Linked DNA regions of Kluyveromyces lactis. The protein of the gene in region 1 interacts with the protein of each later gene in a pairwise test. Links are inferred from orthologs where the notes say so. Each region holds a gene or a part of one and is shown in the gene's direction. Other genes may lie near its edges.

What was found.
Region 2: the proteins of DPB11 (region 1) and DDC1 interact in a two-hybrid assay, tested with the Saccharomyces cerevisiae proteins (5 studies listed by BioGRID). The link is inferred for Kluyveromyces lactis from reciprocal best matches to the Saccharomyces cerevisiae genes DPB11 and DDC1.

The regions. Positions count from the first base shown.
Region 1 is NC_006042.1:1,324,852-1,329,623, reverse strand, and holds DPB11 (protein kinase activating protein DPB11), read left to right. Parts: upstream 1-1,752; coding exon 1,753-3,762; downstream 3,763-4,772. Other genes in the region: SIP4 (Sip4p), read right to left, coding at 1-699; GWT1 (glucosaminyl-phosphotidylinositol O-acyltransferase), read left to right, coding at 4,068-4,772. UniProt on the Saccharomyces cerevisiae protein: Has a role in the initiation of DNA replication. Required at S-phase checkpoint. Required for the association of PSF1 with origins. Also required for the proper activation of RAD53 in response to DNA damage and replication blocks.
Region 2 is NC_006041.1:1,723,076-1,727,644, reverse strand, and holds DDC1 (Ddc1p), read left to right. Parts: upstream 1-1,884; coding exon 1,885-3,546; downstream 3,547-4,569. Other genes in the region: APL5 (Apl5p), read left to right, coding at 1-1,695; pyruvate transporter MPC1, read right to left, coding at 3,745-4,119. UniProt on the Saccharomyces cerevisiae protein: Component of the checkpoint clamp complex involved in the surveillance mechanism that allows the DNA repair pathways to act to restore the integrity of the DNA prior to DNA synthesis or separation of the replicated chromosomes.

The DNA.
Region 1 (4,772 bases):
TACGATAGACCTTGTATACTGGAAAGACTTCAACTGAGATTTATTATGGTTGACGATCGAATTCCAGGTGAAATTACCTAGATACACTTGGTCATGGATATAGTTTGGGAATTTATGGAAAGTATCATTGATAAAGGGTAGGAACGTGGACGCAGGGGCCTGGGCCGGTACTGGCGCTGCCGATGCCGCTGGAGGAACCGAAACAGAAGACTTTGTTCCCATTTCCCCCACAGAGTTAAGGAATTCCTGGCCAGCAGGAATAACACCCGTCTGTGCAGTAGCTGCCACGGCAGCTACTGCACCATCAATCACGGTCTCACCGTTCTCGTCCACCATCCCACAAAGCCGCTGCAACTTAATCACCTCGTTCTCCAACATCTCCGTGTAACCCCTAGGGAACCCGCGTCTTGTAAGCTTATCACTAGTCGAACAATGGTACCCTATCTTCTTACAATTGGAACAACTAGGCTTGATACCGTCACATTTAATCTTCTTAAGCCTACATCTATCACATGCCTGTGAAAACCGTTTCACTTTTGTTGATGCCGTAGGCATCAACAATTTCTTCTCATTGTGTTTGTCGACTTTCCCATATTTACGCTTCTTACCTGACTGACTGCTACTGTCATCACTGCTATTACCAGTAGACATCTTACCAGCAAGCACGCCCTTTACATCATCCTGCGAAACACTTGGCATAGTGATATATACATATACTTGGCGCTACTACAGGAAGCTTATAGCAAGCTTACGTTCCAAACAGAAAAAAAAACATCTGATACCTACCATAAACCTTCCGGTTCATGGTTATATGGCAGAACGTTTCCCCAGGTCCGTTTGTCTTATATATCTGATTCAGAATCATGAATAATAATAATAATATTTGGCTATAAAAACCCTCGAGAAATCTAATTCAAGAAACTAAGGCAAGAAGAAACTACCTTTTAACAAGCCAAGAGAATAAACCAATGAGATAACCGAGATAGCTGGGACGTTTGAAGAATTTCCCTTAATTGATGGATCCCAGAAACTGACATTTGTGACATTTCCACAAGTGACGTTGGACATATTATTCAGTATTCGGTATGCTATAGACTATATAAGAGGGCTAATTAATATGCGTTAGTAGTGTGTAATTCCAGTTTTGCAATTGTCCCTTTCAGCCGGATCTGGGGAAAGGAAGTTTTGGGGACAAAAAAAGCGGTTCTAGGCGCGGTTTTCCGTGTAGTCAGCAAAAAAATTTGTGCAGTTATATCGGTTTATCGTAGGGAGAGTAAGGACCTGAAAGGATTTGTCCGGATGAAAGGCTAACGGGGAGAAGTCACAAGTCCGAATGGTGTATGGGTGGCGATGTTTGCCTGCTTCTTGCAATTTCACATGTGACAGATATATGAGTCAGCTGGACGGTTGCTGACAAGGATGATGACTCGACGGGGGGGGCGCCGGAAGGGGGAGATTCGCTGTAGTCACGTGGTTAGTGTTTAATTTTTGGTTTTGGTTTTCGTTTTCTCAGGGTAACCCTGGGTAGCTTGTGTTTTTCGTCCACGTGACCTGTAAACAAATGTCATTTTACAACTCTTCTCTGTTTATTATTTTCCACACATAAACGCGTATTTACACAGATATCCAATCCATCCTTCCTTCCTTCACATATGAATGGTGATGATGTGTCTAAAAAGCTGGAACAAAGGTGTAGATAGCTTCTTCTTCTTCTTCTTCTTCTTCCTCAATTCTCCCTGAAGTAGAGCAAACATGTCCGGCAAACCATTTCAAGGACTGGTGTTCTGTCCTACGTCTCTCCCGTTGTCGGTTTCTGATACCATCTCACATAAAGTGACAAAACTCGGTGGGACTTATACCAAGGATTTGACAAGACTAGTCAACGTATTGGTTGTTGGAGAGTTATTCACCGCAAAGTATAACTTTGCTGTCAAGAATAGAACTGATATCGTGTTTGTTAGTCCGGGATCCGTTGATCAGTTGTACGATGCGTGGCTCGCAGGAGAAGATCTGTTGCAGTTGGCTAAATTCGATATGTCCCAGTACTTAAAATCGAAGTACTCTATCGGGTCGTTTGAAAAATTTAACTTGTTCATTGGCAGAATACGACCTAATAACCATTATTCTCTTGAGTCGTTGGTTCAGTTGTGTAAATTGGGTAAAGTGAAATCGGTAGATACCACGCATTTCATTAGGAACTCTTCGTCATCCAATGCATGCATTTCGTTGTTTATTACCGATGATTTATCGGGGAACCGTGTCCAGGCTGCTTTAGAAGAGAACGTTCCCGTAGTGCATCCAAAATGGATCATTGATTGTATGGACAGATCAGGGACTCTAGACTTTCAATCTTTCTACCTGTTGAAAAATTGTCATGAACTTGAATACTCTGACATTGGTTCTGGTTCGTACATTCGTGACGTTCCAGATAAGAAAAAATCTGTAACTGAACCAAATCCCATGGGTGTACAAGATGATTCGGTGAATCCGTTGAAGATTGCTATAGATAAATTTAAGCCTCAAGCGAATCAGATATGGGGGAAACTATTGGCAAGAGATGGTGATGCTTCAGCGTCAAAGTCCACTGATATTAAGGAAGCCACCCCAACGCATCAAGAATGCCTTGGTGAGACAAAGGATACACCGACCTTCCTGGACTGTCACTTCGTGCTATTCAAGTTCGAAAAAAGACAGGTTACTATCTTATCTAATGTCATTCGCGGTAATAAAGGAACGTCTTCCCTCTTCGAGGATACATCACCGTCACCGGCACAGCTGAAGGATAAGACCATTTATTATATCTGTCCAAGTGGATTTCCGGCAAATCTACTGCCGAGAATCCCAAATGAATCATCGTGGTTGACAGAATTCTTCATCGAACGATGTTTGTATTACGAACAACTCCTACCTCCGGATTTTTGGTCAAAACCTTTCTACAACGATTTCAATATCATTCCACCTAAATCGGTGTTACATGGCCCTAAACTTTCCTTCCATATCACAGGGTTCCATGGCGTGGAATTACTACACATCAATAAAATTATAGACTTTTTGAAGTTGATTGGTTTTGACCATCATGAGAAATTGACGAAGAAGACGGATTTCTTACTCGTTAACATCTCCCAATTGACTTCAATACCACAGGAACATACTTTAAGGCAAAATAAGTACGCGTCAATGTTCAGGACAGATTTGGATATGAAGATCTCTGTAAATCAAGCTCAAATGTTTAGAAATTCAATGAAACGGAAAATTGAATTCGTTAAGCAAGCTCATCATATTCCCATCCTAACTCCAAGTTTTGTCATTGAACTCTTCCAAAGAGCAATGAAACCTAATAAGACTTCCATGAACATCTACTTTAATGACGTTAATTGGTGTATTTCTTGTCCCAAGGGTTCTAAATCTGACTTTGCACTACAAATAATTCCAAAGGAAAGAGGAAACGAGGATCCTTTGCTAGAGAAACCCGCTCCTGTTGATATTGCGGCACCTCTGTCAACTGCCTCTTCTGCATCAGCAGAACTACCTCATGTTCCAAATAGAGGGAACCGTTGGGGGAAACTTCTTTCAAATAATGTAGATACAGAGAATGAGGAATCAAGCTTTATCCAAACTGTAGGTCATGATAGTGACCATCTTTCGCATACTCAGATCACGTACGGATCAGCATCAACGTCGACATCTGTGCAGCAGAATTTGAAAAGAAGGAAGATTTCTACCAGAAGCCAAGCTAAAGACATCATTTCTCATGTTTCATAAATCTCATGTATTATTACGTCACGCCATATATATGTATGTATATATGTATACATATCCATTCGGATATTATCTGTAACAAGATCATTAACATTCTTATTCTGCTTAGAAGTGCCTCTAACTCCTAAATGTGTGTCATTTTTACGTGTCTGAACCTATATTCCAGATTTACTCTTCTGTGCATGCTTCCTTTAAAAGTGAAAATATTGACAAGTGTCATTCTACCTGTTTATTAAGCTCTAGATCAATGAAGGTTCAATAAAGGAAGTAAGTACAAGAAACGTATACAGGCTCGGGGATATCAGACCATGGATGCTTCTGGTGTAATTGATGAATTGAAACACCGGAAGGAAGCTTTCGTTACCGGACACTCCGGAAGTTCAATTGCAGATTTACGAGATGTCACATTAGCCGGTATTTTTTCTAACGCCGCTTGGATCTACGTCGTTTCGAACAATCCCAGCTACCGGGACTCCTTCTGGTTAGATTTCTTATTGAATTGGATGGGTCTCCTCTGTAGTGTTACTGTATTTGGGGAAAACCCATTTCTTACAGGTATATTAGGTTTAAGTGCGGTGCTATTATTTGGATGTATATCTAAGGGAAGTAAACGCGAAACGATTAAAGAAACTGTAATGGACAATGGCAACCAGTCAGCAACCCTCACAGTGTATAGGAGTACAATGCTGATCTTAACTTCCATTGCCATATTGGCTGTAGATTTCCCTATCTTTCCTAGGAAATATGCCAAGGTAGAAACCTGGGGCATTTCATTGATGGATCTAGGTGTTGGATCGTTTGTATTCAGCAATGGTATTATAAGTTACAAAAGATTAAAATCTGGAACTGAATTATCCAAATGGGCTAAAATTAAACAATCATTAAGGTCGACGGTGGTACTAGTGGTATTGGGTTTCATTCGTTTGTTTTCCGTTAAGGCTGTAAACTATCAAGAACATGCAACCGAATATGGTATCCATTGGAACTTCTTCTTTACCCTTTCATTACTACCC
Region 2 (4,569 bases), on another chromosome or scaffold:
AACTTCGAATTCATTATGCAATATGATAAATTGGTGATAGGCTTGTTGAAAGATGTGGATATATCGATCAGAACCAAAGTATTGGAATTATGCTCTGGTATAGCATCAACTGACAACATCAAAAATTTAGTTAGAATTCTAATCAAGCAATTTGTGGATGTGGATACAGTGCATGTCAATGATCAAGGTGTTCAAATAGACATTCCTTTAAACTATAAAGTGAAAGTTGCCAAGACTGTCTTAGATGTCTGTTGTATAAATGATTACGAGAATATCAATGGTGACTTCGACTGGTACTTGAAAATATTGACGGATCTCTGTATAGTTTCACAAGATTTGAATAATTTAGAGGTATCAACTTTGTTAGGTGATAACTTTAGAAACATTATGGTCAAAGTTCCAAGCATGAGGGATGCGGCTTTAGAACAATTAATCAAATTGACTACAAACGATGATATTATCGCCAAGCTTCCTAACCTACTAAAGGAAGGAATATGGTGCTTTGGGGAATATTCCGAGTTAATTGATAACTGTGACACTCTCGTTGGCATACTCCTAAACAAAGCCAATAAACTTCCAGACACCGTGATACAGACAATGATTCCTGCATTAGTGAAATTATTCTCAACCTATGCTAACACAGAGGGTAGAACCAAATCTGAAATATCAGATCTTCTTTCTACACTAATCGCATTCATGGAACAAAAATACAGATCAACGAATTTTGATATACAAGAACGAAGCGTAGAGTTCTATGAAATGTTAAAACTCTGTCAAGATGCTTTGCAAGATGAAACGGAAGGGTTACCTCTATTAATTACCGACGTTTTACCTAGTCTTTTCAATGAGTATGAACTTGGCCCAATGTCACACGGACAACAACAGCAGTTGGTTAAGGCGTTAACACTCGATTTAGACACTCCATTTTTATCTTCTGTTGAACTCGAAGAATTAATGAAAAATGAAGAACTATATGAAGATGAAGCTGCATATTATTCCGACAAGGAGAGCGTTAAATCTGCTGCAAGCGCTGGAAGTTCTGACGGATCTGTAACTCAGGATATCTCGTCAGAGAAAGACATTTCAATGACAGAAGAAGAACTTGCTGCTTTAGAAGAGCGCAGAAGACAAGAGAGGTTGGATAATCCGTTTTATTTGAATGATGATAAAATTGACCGTGCAGAAACGAAATTGATAGAATTGAGTGATAACGATGATGAGGGTGAAACAAAAACAATCGAACCCGTCATCAAAATTTCGACGAAAAAGAAGAAATCTAATAAGTCACCATCTGTACAAATTTTGTCAGATATTGTAGTGGCTCCACCATCCACTATCACAAAGGAGGGGAAGAAGAAATCAAATACTTCTGGGCATTCAGATGCGATAACTCTTTCCACATCGAATAAATTCAAATCTTTTGATTTTAGTCGAAAGGATAACATTGATTACGACGGTGAATACACTGTTGATCAAGAGGAGTTGGAAAAGCTAAAAAATAAACTTGCAGAACAACACATTAGTGACAATTTAACAGCCATCCAAGATGACAAAGAAGAAGTCATAGTTATTAAAAAGAAAAAGAAGAAGAAAACCAAAGATGGCAGTAAGAAGGAAAAGACTAAGAAAAAATATAAAGAGCCCGCTGAAAAAGCTTCAACTCCAGCAATTTCTCTAGCTCCAAACGAATCATAATAACAGATTAATATAATCACTAATCCATTCGCACTATTTCTTTATAGACATAGGTTCAAATATTTAATCTGTAAAAAGATAAATCACGTAATTGCAAGAAAAAACACGAACTTTAGATCTAGTGAAGAGTTTTTTATCACCGCCAGATAAAGGGATTCTGACTGGAAGTTGTGACAACAGGCCATTGCAATGTCATTTCGTGCTTCCATAAACAGCACGAATGAACAGACCATATGGGGTAAATGCTTGGCAACTCTTTCTCAAATAAACCCTGATGTCTTCATAACAATCACCGAAAATGGTGTATTGATATCATCCATGAATGCAACAGACACGACCATGGCCAAGGTACGATTTCCTAAGTCGTTCTTTACAGAGTATCACTTCGAGCCGAAGAAGATTGTATTTGGTGAATCTGGAGTGCAGCAGATCACCGATTGTAATGACATTCTTCACACAATTTATAGTTTCAAAGCGAATGCAAAGTATCTTTCCCTATTATCACTTAAACAAGAGGATACAATTAAAGAATACATGTTAACTATCGACAATTGTGATAATTGTTCTGAAACTATAGCTAACAAACTCATAATCAAAATGAAGACAGCATCTTTGCTAACTAAAGAATATCAAGTTAATTTTGATCCATTGGAAAGTGTTCAGATCATATTAAGTCTGAAATATAAACAAAAATTCCTTTCAGTATACAACAACAAAAGTAAGGGCAGATCATTAGATCCTCGGTTAGTGGATTATTTCAAATCTTTACAAACAGAATTAGAACATGATATGTTTAATAGAGGTATCGCCAATGAACACAATATTGTGAGCACAGTGAAAAATACACCGTTGACGGTTAACGACGAAATCAACTTCTTAAGTTTTGATCAATCAATACTAAGAAACTTCATTGACTCTATTATGTCTAATGTGATCGAGGAAATAAAATTGGAATTGACGAGACATACTCTAGCCATAATAGGATTTACAAAAGCCGTGTACAACATGAAAAGTCAAGGGTACCTCAAACAAGCAGTTACAGTAACGAATACATGTAGCGCAAATGATCTAGAACATTACTGCATATTTTCAACAGAAAAAAACGACGGTTCGAGACCTTCAAGCAGATCACAAAGTATTAAGAAGAGCATTACGTTCAAATTACGAGATTTCAAAGTATTCTTAAATGGACTTAATTGTTGGAAAACAAATGACATGATAAGAATCTGGTTTTGCCAACCTGGTGACCCCATTCTCTTTGAAATAACAAAAGATGGGGTTGTATTGGAATTAGTGCAGGTAACTGATACCGAGGGTAGGGTCGAAGAACCAGAGGATTCTGTCACCCAATTTAACCTGTCACCAGAAAAGATAGTTTCACCAATCAAGAAGGATACCGTAGTGAAACCAGATAAGCTTCAAAGGCCGGAAAGTAAGCAGATGCTGTATCCACATACAAAACGCTCACTATTTATAACGGATGAGGATGGAGCAGATGATGATGACGAAGACGAAGAAGGAAGGCAATTCAGGTTTAAAAGGTGGGGGAAACAAAATAGTAACACTACTCCCAATTCAAACACTGGCTCCCAGTCAACACCATCGAACACAACAACCGAGCCGTCAATTAGCGAGCCAGTAAAGAGAATGAGAACAACTGTCGAATGGGGAGGAACAATTGAATCGAACAATGTCGGTACAGATGAATCTCATCAAAGAGAAATGAACAAGGCTGCTTATCTAAATAATTTGAAAAGACAAGCAATCCAAGAAGATCTCAATCTACAGGAAGAAGATGATGGCATGGGTCCCACACAAGCTGACAGACCTAAAGGTTTGTTCGACTCTTGATAATAAAGAACGAAAGAAGTACTTTATTTTTCATTTCGAAATGAATTCATAAACTGTAATTGAACATATAGACATATAATATACAGTACGTAAATAAACTTAGCATTAAATCTTAGATAACAGACCTACACAGTAGTGTAATCTAAGCCATGGGAGAAAGAATGTTGTTTTGTCGGCAGGTTACATTTTCTCTTGCATCTAGGCTGTCTTGGCGACATTGGCGTCAGTAGCGTCAGCTTTCTTGCCACCTAGATAATGATGGTTTAAATATCTGTAACCTTGCACAAGTTGGGCTGTTTCATTCACAACGTGACAACCGAATAACAAGAAGTTCCTTGGGGTAACAGCTAGGGAATATCTCATAAACACACCAGAGTACATCACTAGAGCCAGCGTCATAGGTCCAGAAATCATCTCCGGATCCTTCTTCAAATCGTAGATGGCAGCAATTGGGATACCGAAGTTTGAAACTGGACCCCAGAAATGTGTGGTGAAGACATACTTTAAAGTTTCCTTGTTAATGTATTTGGAAATCAAAGATTGACTAGCAGCTCTCTGTACTGGTTGGGACATGATTCAGGGATTATAAACTGTTGCCGAAGTATAATTTACTGAGTTAATATTAACGTAAACCAAACTAAAAAAAGAAGGATAACAATGAATGAATGGGAAAACGAGAGGCCAACTAATAACTCAGATCGAGTACCAAGAAGTTCTTCAATGTACCTTTAAATCTTTTCTGAAAACATTTAAACATTTTTGTTGAGCTTTAAAAGTCTTCAAGGTTTCGAAGCTTGAAAAATTCACCGCTGCAATACGATTTTCACTGGTAAACCCGTTGGTGAGAGACTACCCACTGCACAGCTGATGGAAGTAAGAGGTATAAAACTACATACATGGAGGGGCCGCATAACCACCAACTTATAAGCCGACATATTGGGGGATAGATTTCTGATTACTCTCAGTGGTTAACTTGGTCAAAATCCGTCTCTCTTATGATTGGTAATAAGAAGACGTATATCA